Astyanax mexicanus: one gene and its partner. The protein of the gene in region 2 interacts with the protein of the main gene of each other region in a pairwise test. Links are inferred from orthologs where the notes say so. Each region holds a gene or a part of one and is shown on either strand. Other genes may lie near its edges. The genes, in order: xrcc4 and aptx.

Region 1 (11,096 bases), on a different chromosome or scaffold from region 2:
GCAGCTACGCAGATGCTCTCAAAGGAACCCACACCAAAAAGGACATGGGTGAGATCAAGCAATTACTGCAATATATCTGCACCAGACTTGTGTAGGAACTACAAAAACTAAAAAAAGAGCAGAAAAATATAATTTAAAAAAAATGTTCATGTTCATGTTTTAGCACTTGATTGAATGGTGTATAATTCTCTCATGTACACAGATCATTTACAAATTTAATGTTTATGTGTCTATCTCATTTTAACTGAAAAAATAAGAAGGAAAACTATGGCATCATTTTCAATATGTATGTGGAATATCCAAGGCTTAAACTCATCAGCCTTTGGCCTAAAAAGTCTAAACAGAGACTTTCTAGACTGTATCAAAGACCTTGACATCGTAATCTTACAGGAGACATGGTGTAAGGCTGAGATGGTCACTCACTGTCCTAAAGAGTACAGAGAAATTATAGTACCCCCACAGAAGCTGAGCACAATACGTCAGGGTAGACGCTCAGGGGGGATAATAATGTGGTACAAATCAAATCTTCATTTAGCTATAGAAATTCTAAAAACAGGGAAATATCATATTTGGATTAAAATCAGAAACACTGTAATCGGCTCACAGAAGGACATCTTCCTCTGTGCCATTTACATTCCTCCCCCAGAGTCCCCATACTACACCGAAGACATGTTTTCTGAGCTAGAGAAGGAGGTGTGCCATTTCCAGGCCCAGGGAAATGTGCTTGTGTGTGGGGACCTGAACGCCAGAACAGGGACACAGCCTGACTTTATACCCTCACAAAAAGATCATTCTAACTTATCATATCTTATTAACAATAATTCTTTTTACCTCCCCAGAAACAGCCATGACAGCGTAGTAAACAGAAACGGAAGAGACCTCCTGCAGCTCTGTCAAAGCCTGGGTCTGTACATTGTCAACGGTAGGACACGAGGGGACTCTTTAGGAAGATACACATTTTGCTCACCTCTTGGGAACAGTACAGTAGATTACATGATCACAGATTTAGATCCTTTCTCTCTCAGTGCATTCACTGTAAAACCACTAACCCCTCTGTCTGACCACAGTCAAATTACTGTGTTCATTAAAAGGACAGAGACTAACAGCACAGCACACACTCAGCCCAGTAAGCTGTACAACATCCGGAGACCATACAGATGGGCCCAAAACAGCACAGAAGAGTTCCAGAAAACAATCAGCACCCAAGAAATTCAAACTCAGTTAGACACCTTTCTGGATACCATATATTATCACAGTAAAGAAGGAGTCAATCTGGCAGTAAAAAATCTAAATACAATATTCAAAAACACATCAGAAAAGGCTAAATTAAAAATTATTAATACATCAAAACCTAAGCTTAAAAAAGAAGATAACTGGTTTGACCAGGAGTGCCAAAACATACGTAAGGAACTAAGGAAATTATCAAATCAAAAGCACCGTGACCCAAAAAACACCCACATACGCCTTCTTTACTGTGAGACATTAAAACAGTATAAACGTACACTCAGAACCAAAAAAGCCCAGCACACTCACAAACAACTGACACTAATTGAGGAGTCAATCAAAACCAATCAATTTTGGGAAAACTGGAACAACCTTAAAAAAAGAGACCGTGAAGTATTGGCTATACAAAATGGAGATATTTGGACGAACCACTTCCAGACACTTTTCAGAAAAATAGAGACAAATTCAAATCCACAGCAAAATAATATAAACAAAAAGCTTAAAAAACTAGAATTAGCTGTTAAAGACAATCAAAACCCATTAGACTTCTCAATTACTGCGCAGGAACTTAAAGAAAAGATTAACAAACTAAAACCAAAGAAAGCAAGTGGGCCAGACGGCATACTAAATGAAATGATAAAAAGTTCAAGTTCTAAATTACAGCTGGCAATTGTGAAATTATTTAACCTGGTTCTGAGTGTAGGTTACTTCCCTGAAATCTGGAACTATGGACTTATAACACCAATCTTTAAAAATGGAGATAAATTCGACCCCAATAATTACAGAGGCATCTGTGTGAACAGTAATCTGGGGAAGTTGATGTGCAGCATCTTAAATTCTAGACTTTTAAACTTCCTTATGGAGCACAATGTCTTGAGTAGAAGTCAGATTGGATTTTTACCAAATTTCCGCACCACTGATCATATTTACACCCTACACACCCTAATTGATAAATATGTTACCCAAAATAAATCCAAAATTTTTGCATGTTTTATTGACTTTAAAAAAGCATTTGATTCAATCTGGCACCAAGGATTATTATACACTCTGCTAGAGAGCGGTGTAGGGGGTAAAACATATGATCTAATTAAATCAATGTACACTGGAAACAGATGCGGAATAAAAATTGGCAGCAAACAAACAAACTCCATCTCTCAGGAGCGCGGAGTGAGACAGGGCTGCTGCTTGAGTCCAACATTATTCAATATTTATATTAACCAATTGGCAAAAATATTAGAGAAGTCTGCAGCCCCGGGTCTCACTCTGCACGACTCAGAGATCAAATTCCTGCTCTACGCAGACGACCTGGTCCTGCTGTCCCCCACAGAACAGGGTCTACAGCAGAACCTGGACCTGCTGGAGCAGTACTGCCAGACCTGGGCCCTGGCAGTAAACCTAAAAAAGACAAATATTTTAGTATTTCAAAAAAGATCCAGATCTCAGGGGCAAAAGCACATATTTAAATTAGGTACAAATAATATTGAATATTCAAAAAACTACAATTATTTAGGTATTACAATCAGTTCATCTGGAAACTTTACATTGGCAGTGAATGAACTGAAAGGAAAAGCACGCAGAGCTTTCTACGCCATAAAACAACAAATTCCTGTAGAAATTCCAATTAGAATTTGGTTAAAAATATTTGAGTTTGTAATTCAACCTATTGCCCTTTATGGCAGTGAAGTGTGGGGTCCGCTTACAAACCAAGAATTTAGTAAATGGGACAAACATCCAATTGAGACCCTGCATGCAGAATTCTGTAAAATTATTCTGAAGGTTCACAGAAACACCCCAAACAACGCATGCAGGGCAGAATTAGGCCAATTTCCACTGATTTTAAAAATACAAAAAAGGGCAATCAAATTCTGGACACATTTACAACACAGCGACCCCCACTCTTACCATTATAAATCTCTGCAGTACCAAGAGTTGAGCAAAGACACCAGTCCCCTCACTCAGCTGGTCCTGAAGCACAGTTCTACACTCACACACATTAACACACTTACACACACAGCTCTAACACACACTAACACCCCACACACTCAGGACCAGACACCAATCAGATTCAACCAAATTACAAAACAACTCCAAAAAAACTACATCAGCTATTGGGAAACTCAAACTAAATCTCAGAGTAAACTACAGTGTTATTCGGCCCTAAACCGTCAGTACAGAGCAGCGGAATACCTGAGCACCCTGACTGACCCCAAACTGAGGTCCACCCTGACCAGGTACAGACTCAGTGCCCACAGCCTGGCCATAGAGACGGGCAGGCACAAGAAATCCTGGCTGCCCAAAGAGCAGAGAGTGTGCCCACACTGCCCACTGAACAGACCAGAGACAGAGCTGCACTTCCTTACAGAATGTCCCAAATATTCCCAGATTAGAACCCAATTCTACACCAAATTCACCCACAAATTACCTGCATTTAAAAACATCCCCGATCCAGAAAAACTCCCCTACCTGCTGGGGGAACACAGTGAGTGCTGCACTCTGGCAGCGCAGTACGTCCAGGCCTGCCACAGCCTGAGGGACAGTGAGTGACCACAGATACACTGCTGTACAGAACTACAAGCTCTATTACTCTTTATTATAAATCATATGTTTTTTTTTTTTTTTTTTTTTTTTTTTTTTTTTTCTTATAATAATTAATTTAATTGTTTACTTAAACTTGTGTTCAAATTTACCTGTACAGTTATCTTATGTTAAATTTTGTCAGGAATATATATATATACTTGTTAATCACAGCTTTGGCAATACAAATGTGAAAATTTGTCATGCTAATAAAGCAACTTTGAATTTGAATTTGAATTTGAGTAAAGAGAGTGAAAGGAAAGAGAAGGAAAGTGTTAGAGAGTGAGAGTATAAAGAGTGAGAGTATAAAGAGTGAGAGTATAGAGAGTGAGAGTATAAAGAGTGAGAGGAGTGTTAGTGTTTTACCTGTGGGTCAGCAGGGTGTTAGCATTAGCCTCAGCTTGATTTCTCTGTTTACTCTGTGCAGATGAGACGCGCTGTAGTGTCGTCATTTCCTCTGTGTACAGGAAGTGTGAGGTGGCTTACCGGAGCTGTGGAAATGGTGAGAAAACCGAAACATTTCTTTATTTAATCCCGGATTAAATTGATTTACTAAACGGAGCGCTAAAATTAATATCTTCCCGATGGCGCGCGGAGCTTCTCCCAGAACATCCCGCTGCAGAACCGCCGGGAAACACTAACCTTAGCCCATTAGCTTTAGCCCGTTAGCTTTAGCATTAGCTCGTTAGTTCTGATTAATATTAAAGTTTTTCTCTGTAGAATAAATCTGATTCTACATTAGAACCCCGAGTTACATCTACTAAATATTATCATTAATAATCAACAGCCTGTTTAACATTAAACTAAAGTTTATTTCACCTTGAACCTAAACACTGCAATAAAGAGTGTAAGTTATATTGTATACTGCAATTATTAATCTATGTAACTAATGTTTGTCTATTTTTTGCAGTCTGCAATTTTTAATTTCCAGAGTTTACTGACGGTAATTCTGCTGCTGATCTGTACCTGCGCTTATATCCGAGCTTTAGCTCCCAGCCTGCTGGACAAGAATAAAACAGGGTATGTATCTAAAACAAGATCGTGTACTTTTTATTCATCCTAAAAATAAGCGAAATAAAATGATATTTGTCTTTACATATTTATTTATTTAAAAAATGTTGGACATTATAATTGTTGGACAGTCATAATTAAACACTAAAATAAAGTATGTTTTGGTTTAGAATCTTAAATAAAAAAAAAATAAGGCATCAATATATTTAAGAGGTTTGTCAAATGATAGATCCTTGGAAAAAAATAACATAGATATTTTGCAAAGATAGTGTTTTATTTTTGGGAGAAACTTTAGATCTTAATCTGTGCGTTTGTGTAAAGGAGTGTGTTTCAATCCAGATATAAATATATTTCTGCGTTCCGACGGCTATTAGATTATTAAAGCTGGTAATGCTGCTAGAGGTAACAGTAATGTTAAGAAAAAAAAAAAAAGAATATGTATTTTGGGGCGGCTACCACAAAGCTTTAGAATGGTTTTGAAAAATGTTAGTCTGGAGCTGTAATGTCAAAGCTGCATTTACCGGTTTTACCTATTCTGCTGTTTTGCAGTGTTTAAAGAACGGTTCTTCAGACTCTTGTCTCGTTTTTAGACTTGGTTTTCTAGGGAACCCAAAGTTGTTTTTCTGAGATGTTTCTGAAAAAACCTGGGGTACTTTTATAGAGTATGCAGGTAATGTTGGTTGGATGGCAGATGTTTTTTTTTTTGTTGTTGTTGTTCTGGTAAAACTGTGTGTAATGGATGAATCAGAGTTTATTAAATGTTTTGCTGCACTGTATCTGTTCTGATAAAGACTGAGATGTTCCAAATGTTTGTTTGGTTCTGGTGAAACTGGCCGGGTTTATATGGGCTTTATATTCCAGTCGGCTGTAGATATTTCTGGCGAGGTCCGGCGCCTCCGGAGAGGGATGTCTCTCTTCTAACCCTGATCCTGCTCATCTCTGCAGGAAGATGATTTAATGAGAGCTTAATTCTCCTTGGCATTAAGCCAGGAGCTACAGATACAGAGCGGCTGTGTTGAATTCTGTTTCCATAAGAAGTTAACGGTATTTACAGTTCTCAACATTAAAACTAACGGAATGTACTTTTTAATTTACCTTTAATCAGATTTTACTCACCGGAGAAATGTGCTTCCCACTATAAAAACTACTGATGACTGTTAATCATTTGGGTAACTGTTAATAGTGTAATCAATATCTACTAATTAACATAAATAACATTGTAAATAATGATGCGTGTGTAATATTTAATAATACAGTTCTCTTACTCTCTGTTTTCTACCCCAACAGATTTCTAGGAATTTTCTGGAAATGTGCAAGAATAGGTATGTTATTCTGTATGGGTTCCAAACACCTTGAGAATGTGTGTTTGTGTGTGTGAGTGTACAGTGTAGGTCTACATTATTTAATGCATTGTTTTGTTTGCAGGTGAGCGGAAGAGTCCGTACGTGGCGTGCTGCTGTATCATCATGGCGTTCACCATTTTATTCTCGGAATAGCAGAAGTTGAAGAGCGTTGGCTGAGGATGGATGGATCAGAAATGGAGGGATTTAGGAAGAAGACATCTCTGCGGGAGGGGCTGTGTGATGTGTCGGCGTTTGGGCTGGTTCTGTGCGGTGTTTTCTTTGCTGTGTTCTGCAGCGCGGGGGTTCTGTTAAAGGACAGGAACTGCTTTTGAAGTAAAAGTTGTGCATTTTTCACTCTGACTGTTTTGTAAACATGAATTATTGTTATTGTTATTTGTGTCCAAAAGCTCCCATTATCTCAGGCCCAGAACCACGTAATGAAACGTGGTGGGAGAAGCCGTGGTTCAGTCCAGAGCTGCTCGTGAACGAGTTGCACAGAGATCTCTGACCAGTCCATAAATCTCATCCTGCAGCGACTGTGTTTTCAGCTGTGTGAGTTAACGTTCAAGCGGCTCTACTAAATAAAGTCTGACTTTCTCTCGTCCAAGTCTGAACTCAGTTTATTAAACCTCTTGCTTAACCGCTCTCTCTCTCTTTTTTTATACAGTATATTGCCTTAAAAACCTCAACTACTCATCAGTGTCTTTATTTTATATATATATATATATATATATATATATATATATTCATACATACACAGGAGAGTACAGGAGTGCGCTGTGAGTTTTGGGGGTGTGGGGGTTGTTCACCCCCTCTCGTGGTAAATTGGAACCAGCGCTGGGTTATGAATGGAGCTTTGTGTGGGTATTGTGTAATGAAACCCCTGCAGCTTTAATGTTTGTAAAATTGAATAATAAACGCGGGGAGATCTGAGCTGGCAGCGGCTCGGCGCTGATTCTGTGTGGGGTAATTTTCCTTCGCGTGGGCATACATCAGCCCAGCAGTGCCCGAGTGCGAGTGGTAAACTCTGGACAATCAGCAGATCCACTGTTTGAAGATTGCTGTGTTTACGCTTCCAGAGGGGCATCAGGAGGGTCCAGCTAAACCAGATCAAGCTGTGGCTCTACAGAGCTCAAACATTTACTGTTCTGCTCTTTTACAGTCACAACACTAGTGTTCATGTATGTATTATATATGTATATATTTGTGTGTGTGTTCGTGTATAGATGCAAGTATATAAAACTATATCATATATTTTGTCGCATAGAGTTGGATGATCTGAAGGGTTTGAGTCGATATCCAAAGTTTGAGTTCTCAAATTCTTACTGAAGAGACTTTATTATGCTGTTAATGAATTAATTTAATAATGAACTGAGGAATGCTTTATACTGTTTTAGTTTTTTTATTTACTGGGAGATTAAGCTAATATCCAGTTTAACCCAGTATAACAAGCATCTAGAAGTAAATTCTTCACTTTTCAACTAATACATTTCCATGTTTTTTCCAGACCGTACAGTCTTTAAAATATCAGTGCAGACGGGACACGATGGATTTGCCTAAACATTCAATTATTTTTAACACCAAATTAGCTTTTCTTAGACGATAAACTGAAACACTGAGATTTGTAGAGCAATAATTTCCATGACTTTTCCAAAACTTTCTGGGTATTTTTATTTTTCCAAAACTTATCCAGGCCTAGAATTTGCTGTTTTCAAATTCCATGACTTTTCCAGGTTTTTCATGACCGTATGAACTCTGTCTTCAGTTTGTTGGTTTGGTCAGTGGTGGGTTAGTGGTTGGAGCAGAAGCGGGTTGTGGGTTTGATGCCCAGGTTTCTGCACTGTTGTGCTCCAAGAGTGAAATCTTTCAGTTTAGAAACCAAATCAGTGAAATAATCATCAAATTATATTTTTAATGTTTCTGTAAACCAGATAAAATTCTTACTTTTATTTAAATGTTTTGTCTGAATTATGTTTAACTCTCCCAACTTTTAACAATAATACCAAACATAAGCTTGTGACAAAAACTCCCTAAATATCTTGTCTGTTATCCATAACAATAATATAAAACAATATTGGTATACGCAGTGTTACTGGTGCTGATCAGATATTTGAGGTGGGAAATGTAAAAAATTGTGTTTTTGGAGAATCCAGCTCCTCTGTTCTCCTTCTGAACTGGAATGAAGTCTCGTTGGCTTTACTGGGTTCTGATTGGCTCCATATGGTTTTACTTCCCCTGACATCCCTGATCCAAACCTGAGGGGGTATTTTAACAGGCCCAGTATGAAGACCCCCCCAAAATACACTGAGCTGCAGCACAGGGCCAAGGGGGCAACACAGCGGGCACTAACTGATCTGTGTATCTGTGAAAATCTTAATTACTTTGAGAGACAGAGCACAGCAACTATTTATATTAAAACATCTGGGTTATTTGCATTAGTTCAGTAGTTGGGTAAACTGCAGATATTAGGTTTTCGGTAGTTTCCCACAGTGCTCAGTGTATCAGAATTACCAATAACTTTAATACTTTAAAACAATATCGATAGACAATATAGTTCAGTAGACTGGAAATTAACAAACATTTTTGTACAAACTGGTTTATCATAATATCAGAATAATAATAAATAGAGCCGGCGGTTCTGCTGGATCTGACCCGGCGGTTCTGCTGGATCTGAGCCGGTTCACTGGGACGCTGTTTCATCCTCCAGCTCAGTGCCCTCAGATCAATCTTACTAATAATAAAAACAAAAACATTTAAAACATTTTGTCATTTCTGATACACACACCCATCCAAAACAGCCCACTTTACAAACCAGTACCAGTACACCCAGTTTAAAAATCTCTCCCTCTGGGCTGTATGGTGCCCTATTTAATTAATTACTTTTTTTTTTTTAACACACACAAACGCGCACGCGCGCACACACCTCCCCAACAACATCATACTGCTCCATAGTGATGTGGAATACAGCGACTGTGATTGGTCGGCTGAGCCTCATGCCAGATTTTAGTCCCTGGTGAAAAGATGTTCTCAGTCTGGATCTACTGAACTGCGGTCCGGTTCTTCTGCAGAGTGAAACACTAGATGGTTCAGAATTTCAGACCAATCAGAGGAACCAAGTCCAGAGGAATAGAGAACCGGTGCTCTATTCAGCAAGCAGCTTCAATCCGTCACTAAACTGCAGTGTGAAACCGAAACTAACCGAACCAAATTCAGTTGATACCTCATATCAGTATATCAATATATCAATATATAAATCACACAAACCTCAGCACGGAGTCCAGTCCGGTAAACCACCCTCAGACTCGGTTCTGATCCGGAACTGTACAGTAACTTACTGGTACCACCAGCCTCACCATCGGCCCAACCACACTCAGCCACGTCACCACGTAGTTTATTCTCCTGCAACACACACACTCCTGCACTGTGCACACCTGTTACCATTACTGCGTCCAGCAGAATTAAATTCAGGGCTGAACTGATTTACCTTTTCTCTCTTCTAGCCGTTTCTAAAATCGGCTGCATAAATTCCTCCGTCCGACACGGATGCAGCATGAAGAACGGCTGGCCGAGGACCGGGTGCTCCTGCAGACCAATCACACACACACACACACACACACTGCTATCAGCCGAACATCACATTCTTTCTTCCATATAGTGTCCATGTGTGTTTTATAAAAAAAAAATATTCTGTATTTCTAGATTTAAGTATATATTATATTTATAGAAGAAGGGATTTTAACCTGTTGGGTCAGAGTGTTCCAGGGTTCGTTCAGAAGCTGCGTCCTGCAGTCCGGATGAACACTGTTCCAAACCTCCTCCAGCGACAGCAGCCGACCGTCTGCAACACAAACAGAACACTGAAACAATGAAATTCTCCTCTCTTTAGCCCAACGCTAAAAACACAAGGAGAATCTGATTAGCATCTAAACTCCTACCCAGAGTCGACGCAGTGAAGTACAGGACAGGGACCTGATAACTGCTGGAATATAAAACATGATACTCATAAACTACCACATCCTGCTTCTCACACTCGACTTGGGCATCCTCCTCCTCCTCTTCCTCCACCTGCAGATACAAACAAACAAACAAACAAACAAACAAATATATATATATATATATATATATATTATACAACACTGTATATAGAATGTTTGCAAAAATCCTATTTATAAATAAAAAACAGAAATAAAATATGAAAATAATATTTAAAGATCATCTAACGCACGTGGAGCAGGAGCAGCACTGAAACATTACCAATCAAGATTCAATTGACATGTTATTTTTAATAATAAATAATTTTTCACCTTTTCACTTTTCTGTATTCTATTATAAACTAGTTGTTGTTTCTGTAATAAAACTGTTTTTTTACCTTTTCTTCTTCAGTCATGAAATCCAGGGCTTCAGTCTTCAGAGGCGAATTTCTCCTGGGTCTCAGAACCGTCTTCTTCATGAAGCCCTCAGAACCCTAAATCCCAGCAAATGCCAATAATACATTCAATACCACGCATTAATTGGAGGGCAGACGAAAAGAGTGCAGATCACTCCGTACATATATTACCCCTACAGATCTGAAATGAACAGGGCAGTATTTAATACACACCTTCACTTCAGTCCAGCTCCAGCCGTCGCTGAGGAGATCCGAGTGCTGGAGGAAACTCTGGCAGCAGAACCGGAAACTTTTCTCATCCAGGTGAAAATGACCAGGATCCAACACTCCATCATCAGACATCTGAAAAAACATATAAATATATAAATAAATATATTTATAATCCTAAACACAGTCAGTGCTCATATTCAGAGTGAACTGAAGTCTTTAAAATCACCCAACAAACTCAAAACATCATGTTAAACTGCAAAAGCTGAACTCAAAACCACACTGTCCAGTAAATCCAGTCAGAACTGGGAATGAGTTAATTCACTTCAGAATTACAATACAATAAGCGC
Region 2 (11,147 bases):
ATAATCAAGAGGAAGATGGATGATCACAAGCTAAAAAAACAAACTGTACTGGTTGAATTTTTGCACCAGGAGTAAAGGCATAAAGTTATCTAAAAGCAGTGTGTAAGACTGGTGGAGGAGAACATGATGCCAAAACTGTGATTAAAAACCAGGGTTATTCCACCAAATATTAATTTCTGAACTTGTGAAACTTTATGAATATGAAATTGTTTTCTTTGCATTATTTGAGGTCTGAAAGATCTGCATCATTTTTGTTATTTTAGTTATTGCTCATTTTCTGCAAATAAATGCTCTAAATAGCATTATTTTTAGTTGGAATTTGGGAGAAATGTTGTCTGTAGTTTATAGAATAAAACAACAATGTTCATTTTACTCAAACATATACCTATAACGAGGCAAAATCAGAGAAACTGATTCAGAAGCTGAAGTGGTCTCTTATTTTCTTTCCAGAGCTGTATAGCTTAATATATCCAATAAACATATACAAGAGTTTTTCATGTGCGTCTAATTATTTTTTTTATTCACTGTTCCTGATAACTTTTATCTTTCTTATAAATACTACTGTGACGCCACATTTCTTTATTAGTGCAACTACTGTTTTTCACTATTATTATACACAATGAGTGTATCTTTTATCTTGTTTACTTGTAATGTGTCACTTCACATACTGTATATTCCAGCTCCTTGAGTGATTTGGATTATACATTAAAAAAGTGATTCCATCATGTGTTAAAAAATGATCTAAATTATAGCATTTAAACATTCAAGCTAAAAAAAAAAAAAAAAAGTCTTTTTAAGTCTTGTGTAAATTAATACCTGCATCTTTGGGTCCTGCATTGAAACTTTCAGACCTTGACTCCAATGGCCTGCAGGCTCCTATGGAAAACAGCACATTCACATATAAAAGACAACAGGGAGAGTCAAGAGTTAGTTCTTATCCATTTAAAGTCAATGAAGCAAAATTATTCATTATATCATTTTAATTACCTTATTCACAAGAATATATTCTGAATGCATAAATATGGCTATAGAAACCTTTGGCACATGCCTCCTCCGATACATATGAAGCCAGACTTTGCCTCTTTTAGGAGGAAAGCACAGAAACCCAGCTCTGATACATCAGCTAACAGACACCTGTGCTGAACAACATTAAATTAGTACATCTACCCACCCAGAAAGAGCATGGCCATTTGTGCTCTCTAGGACTCCAGCTGCTGCGGCAAGCAGTATGACCCAGAGTTCGAAGCGACACTGACCAATAATACAGAATTTTAGAAAATAATGCTTTTTATTTGATCACCAGAAATTAAACTGCAGCTTCTAAAAGAGTTAAAAACCTAAACCTAGATTTGTTTTTACATTTTTAAAATGTTTTAATGCATCTCACCGCTTTTGCTGGTGTTGTTTTTGCTCTGTTTGACTCCTGTTCTGTATGAGACGGCGTGGACATTTTCCTGGCTGGACTCTCCTCGTTCTTATCTTCAGTAGAATCTCGCTGGTGTGGCCTTTTCGCTGGTTTGCTCTTCTCCCCAGCAGATCCAGTCACCGACGTGTCCTCAGTGAAGCGCACGGTGTACGGGTAAAGCTGGTTGACCATGTAGAGTTTCTGACCCGGCTTTAAAGGCACCTGGTTGTAAAGGTGAGGGAAATGATGTTGGTATGATGTCACAGCCAGCGCCCTGTACAACAGCATCAGTTACTAAACAGCACGGAACACTAATGATGACACTAATGATGACACAGGTAATTTCAGGTGCATGGGTGTGAAATTTAAAATGCAGGTGTGCTTTACCTGATTGCCTTTGCCCACAACCACATGGTCCACACTGGTGGGGTTAGTTCCTAACTGAAAAGCAAAATACAACAAAATACAAGTCATTACAGTGTGGACACATGTTTAATATTTACATAAACAAAGGCTGACATATTTACTGTGTAAATAATATAATAAATGTGTTAATGTAATAAATAAGCTGTAAGCACCCATCCTATGGAGTGTAAAAGCAGACAAATATTTGAATTTGAATTATTTTTATATTTAAATTAAATGTACCTTGAAATTTGTATTGTTTTTTGTATTGTTAAATATTTTTGTATTTTGAGTTGTGCAATTTGCTGTTGTTCCAATTTCAGATTTTAACATTTTCAGATAAAAAATAGATACAATAATTTTAATATGTAAAATCAGATCCGTACATTTAAATCTATTTGATTCAAAACTCAGAAATACAAATTTAGTTTAGAGGGCAAACATCTGGTAGACAGTTCTGATTTTATGGTAAATTTCACAAAAACATATTTTAAAATTTGAAACGTTTTTTAATTAAACCATTGAATATTTCATGTTATTAAAAAGTCAGGTAAATGTAATTCAATCATACGAAATGCAGATTCAAATAATTATTTCAGGATTTTAAGATCCATAAATATTAAAGCCACAAGGACAAAAATAATCAGCTGAAAACAGCTATAAATAAATATAATAAATAAATATTTGAAAAAATATATAATAAAAAATTAATTAAGCAAGCAGGGGTGTGCCATATCATATTGTAATCAATAATGTTGATTACAGGTTGTTTCAGCAGCAGAGGCAGGCACTCAGCAGACAGAGAGAGGTGAGGTAGAGAGCCAGCAGGGAGCTGGTTTAGGTTCATTTTTATTTTCTACTCTAATAAACTACATGAAATAAAGTTTTTAGTATCATTTATAACACTCTGTATCAGTTTAGTAACATTACCTCCTCACACACAGGCTGCTCTTCAGCTAGAAGATACCATCTGTAGTAACATAGCTACCAGCTAACTGTAGCTGAGCTAATTTAGCCATAGCATTAATTTTTTCACCATTAGTTTTTTCGTTTTTACGAAAACACTGTCTTTCTCTGTGGAAAACTGCGCTCCTGTGTAAGTAAATTACACTAATAAGGTAAATTATGATTAAATAACACTGCTGAGGGTAAAAGCTAGCTAGTTAGCTATCTAATGACATAGCTAGCGTTAATTACCTTGCTAGGGTTAGTTTGCTAGGCTAGCTAGCTTTACTTACCTAGCTAGTTGAGTTAGTTAGCTACTTAGCTAGTTAGCTAAGCTAGCTAGTGTTAGTTAGCTACCTAGCTGGTTAGTTAGCCAGCTAGAGTTAGCTAAGCTAGCTAGGGTTAGTTAGTTACCTAGCTGGTTAGTTAGCTAAGCAAGCGTTAGTTATTTAGCTAGCGTTAGTTAGCCAAGCTAGCTAGCATAAGTTAGCCAAGTTAGCTAGCATTAGTTATTTAGCTAGTTAGTTACCTAGCTGGTTAATTAGACAAGCTAGCTAGTGTTAGTTAAGTTACCTAGGTGAATTCAAACTAGTTGACTAGTTAAATGTGTGGCTAGAACTATTGAAATGACCAAACTCATAATAAGAATTAAATTTTAATTAGAATAGCACAGTTAAGTTAAGATAATTTAATCATGATACATACGGCACTTCTGAAATAAAATAACAACTGGAACAGCATTGTTAAGGTATAATTATGACTAATTTGCACTGCGTAAATACAATTATGTTTGGAATAACACTAATAAGTAACAAAAAAATTTATAACTTTAATTTACACTGCTGAGATAACATAGCAGCTAGCAACTAACTGTTAGCTAAAGGTTTGACTAAGACAGCACTTTTGAATTAACTAGTTTGCAAGCTAAAAGTACAATTAGTTAAAACAAGTAAAATAACAATTGTATGACTGAAATAACACTGCAGAGATATCTAGCTAACATGCTAATGTGTAATTACAATAGCACTGCTGAATTAACTAAATCCATGATTAGAGCAGCACCGCTGTCAAATAACAAGAATAATAATTGTCTGAGCATTATTAAGGTTTTTAAAATATTTATTACATAAATTACACTGCTAAGGTAGCAGAAAGCGAAATCCTATTAATAAGTGTACAAACTAGTGTTCTTTTTTTTTAAGGTTGTGCTGAACCAAGTACAGTGATGGCAGGATGGCGGCCCAGGCAGCGAGTACTGCATGGATAAAGCCCTGATGGTATGTACTGTATTTCCATTTATGAAACTAACTAGACCTATCCCATATATTTATCGTGGGAGAAATTATTCGAATGAGTTTTAAATAATTTATTTTTATTCCAGTCTGGGTTAAAGAAGACAGTACACGAGTAAAATAAAGTAAATGACTCAACACACCAAAGATTAATTGGTCATAAATGCCTCAAATCTCAGTAGACAACCAAGTAGAGTATCGATTATTATCCTGCAGCTGCTAATTAAGTCAGTGCTAAGACTGACAAAATGACAGTACTAAAGTTTGCTTTATTCACTCCCAATAGTTGCTTTGTACAACAACAAACAATGCTATTTTATATGATTTTGTTATTTACTCTTTAAAATGATTAGAAATGACTAGCTTACCTGTTTCACACTGATAAATCCTCGGTTGCAATCTGCTCTCAGTTCAACTGTGAAAATACAGAAATATGTAAAGATTATAATTAGATATGTAACAGTCGCTAACCTGTATTAAATTGCAATGCTTGAGCTTAAAAACCTAGGACACTGAACATCAGTAATTAGCTATGGCTTCTGGTTCAGAATTTAATTTAGTTATCAAACTTTATCTGGTTTACGGTCAAACTGTTATATTCTAGTAGGGCTGTATATTGGCAAGAACTTGCCCATACAGTACATATCGCAATACTGGGGTTACAATGGAATGTATCACAATATACTGTAAGCAATTTTAGCAATGTTAATCATGTGCTAACACGTTTTGTTTACTAAATAATTCCGCATTTGTTCGTGTATATGTTTAATTACTTCAGCATTAAATCTACAAAGTTAAAAATAATAATAATAAAAAAAACACTTGAATGAGAAGAGGTGTATCCAAATTTTCACTGGTTCTATAGGTATATAAGTGAGACTACTCTCAATTACTCCTCGTTAGAAGTAAATGAAACTGTGTGTGGGATAAAAAGGGAAGATTTTACCTTGGTTTCTGGAGCACTTCTGGTCTTTAATCTTAGTTTCTGGACCTCGACCCAAACTCACAGTCTGCTGGTGAGGGAGCTGAATGGGTTTGTGACAGTCATCTTCGCTTACAAACCAGCAGCTGGGCATTTTCCTGCTGTAAATGAGTTTTATAAAGCAAATGTAACTTTCTGACTGTACTAAATCTGCTGTATAGTGTAGCTGGCTATATTAGCCAGGCTAGGCTAGCCTTTAATTCAGCTACAACACAGACTGACTATCTGTAGCTTCTGTAGCATCTGTAGCAGCTATAAGGATAAAGACTCTGATCTCTTTAAGATGATCCTCAAATATGGTTTATAGGCGGTCTGACACGGCTTAGTGCGATGGCGAGGTTTTTAAAAAGCCTTTGAAATAGAAACTCTCCGAACCAGCAGCAGCAGCAATGTGCCGCATGTGCATTTCAACACTTCAAAATAAAAGTTCGGGTAAAACGGTAACTCAAAAACGTTTTAAAAATATATGTATTAAAATATAGGGACATATTTTATTAAACTAATTAAAATGAGTGCTGTCAATCGATTTTAAAAATGAATTGAATTAATCACAACAATATTTTGTGATTAATTACGACTAATCACATGTGTCCTGCTCCCTAATATAAAAAGTTTTAGGGCGCAGAAGCACACTGTAACCCTGGTTCAGCCGTGCGACCTAAAAAAATAATAATAATAATGTGGTTAAAATAAATGAAACTTGATTTAATTCAACTCAAATACGTTGATTGAACATTTGTACTATAATATTTGTATTGATCTGAGATGAAAAACACAGTTCAATTGCTTGTTTGCTTACACACTATTACTTATACTAAAGCTAACTGATAAAAATCCTTTTTTTACACTGTAAACAAAAACATTACCTAAAAAATACAAAACTAACAAAAAAGATAATCAAAATCAAGTAAATTGTAAGAAAAAAACACACAAAATACTTAATATTAACTCTCAACTGTGTAAATCTCTCTGTGTAAAACTCTCTAGTGTGTAAATGTGTAATAATAGATTTAATAATAGATAATAGTGCAAATAAAAGAATACATTTGTAAAGACTGTATAAATGGAATTATATTTATATTGATGTGAAAAAAATAAAACAACAATGATATTATGTGGTTAAAATGTATAAATTAAGGTTAAAATGCAGGTACTTCCCTGTATATTTTTGGAGGCAGACAAAAAAAAATAAAATAAGATGTGTGAAGATTGCTGAAAATGCTGTATGGTAATAATAAGCATAAAACAAGACTGAGACTGGATATACTGTATATTATAGATGTTCATTTTGTAATATAGGCTGTGAATGCTGACTTGAGACAAAAATAAATATTGCAAACAACTTATGTATTGTTAGATTTTACTAGGGCTGCACGATATTTTAATATCTAGTGCGACATAAAATAATACTGGAATTTTTCCAAATTTCGGCAGCAGTCGATGATTAAACATGTCATGATTTTGATATTGCAATCTTTGCAACAATGATTGGAGTAAAATAAATAGTAATAATGCGTGAATTTTACTTTGTAATAACAATGAAAAGTTTTGAGAAATGGATATTGATGTCGCATTGCAAAAACATTGCACAAGAATATTGCGATATGAATGCTCAAATAATAAATAATAAAGTCCTAAATTTTACCTAAAATTTTATATATATTTTGTATAACATTCACTGTAATTACCGTATAGTGTACCGTATTTGTACACTTAATAGGTCCATATATGACTCTCTCCAGGAGAGAGCACTGCTGCTCAAAACATCTCACTTCCTCTGCCGAAACCCGGGATCGAACCAGGGACCTTTAGATCTTCAGTCTAACGCTCTCCCAACTGAGCTATTTCGGCCTGATATTTCAAGAAATTCAGTGTTTCTGTCAGACCTGTGGCATGCCCATTATCTTCTCTACTGCTTTATTTTTCATTCTGTGGAGATTACCCACACTAACAGCATACAACACAGTACCAGTAACACCCAGCTGCCCCATACAGAAATCTAGCACTGTCCATAAAATACATACTTTAATACTATTATTGTTTTACAAGACATGTAAAGGTTTAAAGAATTAAAGGCAAATCATTAAGGACTAGGAATATATTTACAAATATATGTACATTCATATTTTATGCACATCTGTAAATATAATTTAAAATCAAATTAAGGGTCACAAAAGAGTGTATGAGATCAAAGATCAAAACAATAAAGTCAAATCAAAAATAAAGTTTTAAAAATACATACAAATAATAAAAATAGTTCAAATTTGGACACACCTCGTAATTCAATTTGTATTATTATTATGTTCTATGTTGTGGATTGATATTATTAATAATATTAGCATATGGCGGAGCATGAAATGAATTATGTAGTCAACAAAAACGTGTGTTTTTCTTAATATTAGTGTTGTATTTTGTTAATAGTTACTGTAATTGCAGTGTAGTATGCTGCATTTACATTTACAGAGTTCTAACCATTATAACCCCATGAACACAGGAGTGATTTGTGTCCACAGGTGTCACACAGGAAGTGATGTTTACTACAAAGAAAATGCAGTAAGCTGCAGCGTTTCACCAGCAGAGAGCACTGCTCCTCAAAACATCTCAACCCTCTGCCGAAACCCGGGATCGAGCCAGGGACCTTTAGATCTTCAGTCTAACGCTCTCCCAACTGAGCTATTTCGGCCTGAATAGGTTAGTCTCAGTGGGCCTGTCGGCTCTGCAACCACAGATATCAAGAGTATTGACATTCCTTACTCAGGTACAAGTATACTCTGGTGGAAAAATATATACTTAATTGTACTTAAAACATATTGAGAAATGTCTAAGTATGCTGTTAATATATTAACAGATTTATGTACTTACTTAAAATATATTAAAAGTACATTAATATTATGCTTTCATCAAATGTTTGAAAGTAAACTTTGATCATACTCTTAAAACAAGTACAGTACAGTGCATTTTAAATAAATAGACTACTATGAATTACACATTTACTTCAATGTAATTCAGCATACTTCTAAAATACTGATTTCCAAATATACTTTTGTACATTTTTAGCAAAGTGTGCTAAAAACAGATTTTACAGTAGTTCACAAAGTACAACGTATCCTGTAACTTTTTAAAAAGAAAAATAAATTGCTACATTTATAACATTTGAAGTAAATTTGTAACATGCTAAAAATTGTAGTACAGTATGTTAAAATCTATTTTTATACCCAACAAAGTATATACTATACTAGAAGTGTTCTGCTTACAAAAGACAGGAACAAGAAGCATATTTTTACTCCAATGTAAATAGATAGCATATATTTAACATCAATTCTTAGTACATTTCTAACATACCTGGTGTATAATAGTGATACAGGTGTAATACTTAGTAAATATATTATAATTTTACAGTAAGCATATTTAAAGAAGGGTTCCATGGTGTAATGGTTAGCACTCTGGACTCTGAATCCAGCGATCCGAGTTCAAATCTCGGTGGGACCTGCACATTTGTCTTTGTCTTCAAATGACTTCTTACAAATTTCAAATTGTTGCTGTCGCTTTCGTTTGATGTGCCAGTGACCACAAATTGATCATCAAATAAGGAGGAAGCTGTTGATTGGACCATAAGGGTTCAATGGTGTAATGGTTAGCACTCTGGACTCTGAATCCAATTCTTTGAGCAAGAAGGGTTCCATGGTGTAATGGTTAGCACTCTGGACTCTGAATCCAGCGATCCGAGTTCAAATCTCGGTGGGACCTGCACATTTTTCTTCGTCCTCAAATGACTTCTTACAAATTTCAAATCGTTTCTGTCTCGTTTGCTTTCTGTACCAGTGACCACAAATTGATCATCAAATAAGGAGGAAGCTGTTGTTTGGACCAGAAGGGAATGGGAATGGGATTCCCGACCCTATTTAAGCAAAGCAAAAAAAAAATGTGACTGCACTGGCACTGATTGGTATTGCAGCCTTTGTGATGTTTTTTAAAGGCAGTGCTCCTGTGTTATCTCTGTCCCAACCATGATCTTCATTTTAAGAAGTATTTCAAACAAAATTCATTCTTTAAACCAGGGCTATCAAAACGGTCCATACTGGGCCAGTGTGGCTATGAATGTTCCTCCTAAACAATAAGCAGCACTGCTGATTCCACTTGTTTAATCAGCCGATCAGTCTTCAAACAACTGGTGACTTAATCCTGCTTGGCTGGAATAAAAAAACATGCAACCACACCAGCCCAAAGTGGACAGGTATAAATTCCCTGCCTTTATTCAGAAACTGATATTTATTTTATAAAAGAAATCAAGGCAACACATTTAAAAGAGCTTTAATTTTTCTGACACAACACATATGTAAAAGACAAAGCACAGATATCAGAGTGTGTGTAAAAGATAGCACCAGTCCTTAATTTTTTGAAGGAGTTCACTGAGATGTATAAAACCTCCCTCCCTTTTTCTGATCTGCTATCCACGTGTTTCTGCAGGACCATCAGATCGGACAGTATGTATTGAAAGTCATGAGCAGCAGATCGGACAAAAACAACAAAATGTTTCATTGAAGAATTAGGACACAACTTTTTTAGAAACAGGGATTCCACGAAGATTGCACCCATTTAAGAATGGTATATGACGCTACAAGAAACAAATAATGCACCTGACTGAACCCCAATCAAACTTGAATCAGATGAAAAGATTAAAATCCAGATAAACATTTTTTAAACTGAACTTTTATTCTGAATGTATTAGTTTAGTAGTTTAAAAAAGTGTATTAACACCATCTTTTAGTCTAAACTGAACAGAAAAAAGATTAGGCTGCATTTAATAGAGTTTAAACATGACCACGAAATGTAGGGATCACATACTACAAGTCGTGCTTTTACTCCCCCAAGTCGTTTTGTATGGGGGTGTTTTGTAAATAACAAAACCTAAATATTTAATACATAAATAACCTAAAAACACCTCGTAACACCTCGGCATAAGAAAATGGAACATTGCACTCGAGGAGAACAGTGGCAGTCCATTAAAAAAAGTAACAGAAGTACTGTTTGTAGTGCAATGCAACATAACATTGAATTAATGCTTTAGAAAAGAATGTCAGTCAGATAAACATTGGGCCAAGATTGTTCCAGAGACCCGTACAGAAGGACATTTTAGCTACAGCTTCAGTGAAATGGCACTTCCTGCTCTGTTTGTATTAGATCTCAAAACCAGCTTAACTGACTGTATTAATCTTGAACAGCTAAGGCAAATTTTTCACCTAAAAGTGGAACCAGAGAAGGTCCTGATGTTAAGGTACCTTCAAAAGTATGTAACGTGTCCTTGTTACGAATGCAGCTACAGTATTTCATTTACTGAAAAGAGTGTGGGATGTTTACAGTACTCCAGGATTAGCGGCTTTGCAAATTGACAGGAATATTTTAAACACTTCTTCACACATTTAGAAAAAAAAAACAAAAAACAAGAACACCTTTCGGTGTCCTGGTTCTTTACAATAATAAAATAAATCAGGTCTCAAAAAGTAATAAAAGGCCACGTTTACAGATATATAAAATAAAGACACAATAAGATTACATAGTGCAAGTTTTCATAATTAAAGTCTTTTGCTACATGATGCTCGCTGAGGTTGTGTGCGTGTCCTAATGCTCTTGATTTTCAGCCAGTCTGCTGTTAAAGGCACCTTATGTTTTGAGTTGTCTGTACTGTCCTGCTGAAATATTCTGTTATCTGGGTGGTCCTGTAAAAGGCAGAGGTTGCAAGGTAAAAGAAACAGCATTAAATGTAGATATATTGATTTTAGACAGTACATATCATCACTTCCATTAACAACATTATCACTTGGGAAAATTCACTAAGTAGATGTTGGATAATAAGGCTTCACACAGCGCAATGTGGACTGATGTCACTGTTATAATAATATCAGCAGGCTTATGTCGCAACTGCTCTGTGTTTCTAATAAAATATATGAGGACATAATGCAAAGCAGTGTCCTTGCCTGAGATATTTTTTTTTATTTTATTTTATTTTTTTTTTACAGTGAGCTAAAGTGCTATCTGTGTGATAAGCCATATTATGGTGGGGATGAAACCAAAACTTTCTGTGAAGCTTTTCTCTTTAGTACGTGAGCATCAGTTTTAA

What was found.
Region 1: the proteins of aptx (region 2) and xrcc4 interact in binary tests that used the Homo sapiens proteins (3 or more experiments, as listed by UniProt). The link is inferred for Astyanax mexicanus from reciprocal best matches to the Homo sapiens genes APTX and XRCC4.

The regions. Positions count from the first base shown.
Region 1 is NC_064427.1:65,902-76,997, reverse strand, and holds the start of xrcc4 (DNA repair protein XRCC4), read right to left. Parts: upstream 4,226-11,096; 5' UTR 4,165-4,225; intron 1-4,164. Other genes in the region: tmem167a (protein kish-A), read left to right, coding at 4,226-4,300, 4,709-4,818, 6,097-6,131, 6,235-6,305; ubiquitin-like-conjugating enzyme ATG10, read right to left, coding at 9,449-9,551, 9,637-9,734, 9,893-9,990, 10,088-10,217, 10,522-10,617, 10,753-10,881.
Region 2 is NC_064432.1:22,364,316-22,375,462, reverse strand, and holds the start of aptx (aprataxin), read right to left. Parts: upstream 5,440-11,147; 5' UTR 5,306-5,439; exon of another isoform or gene 5,252-5,305; intron 5,133-5,251; 5' UTR 5,124-5,132; coding exon 4,994-5,123; intron 4,463-4,993; coding exon 4,416-4,462; intron 1,847-4,415; coding exon 1,793-1,846; intron 1,680-1,792; coding exon of another isoform or gene 1,628-1,679; coding exon 1,388-1,627; intron 877-1,387; coding exon 817-876; intron 1-816. Other genes in the region: uncharacterized protein lcorl, read right to left, coding at 10,733-10,746. UniProt on the Homo sapiens protein: DNA-binding protein involved in single-strand DNA break repair, double-strand DNA break repair and base excision repair.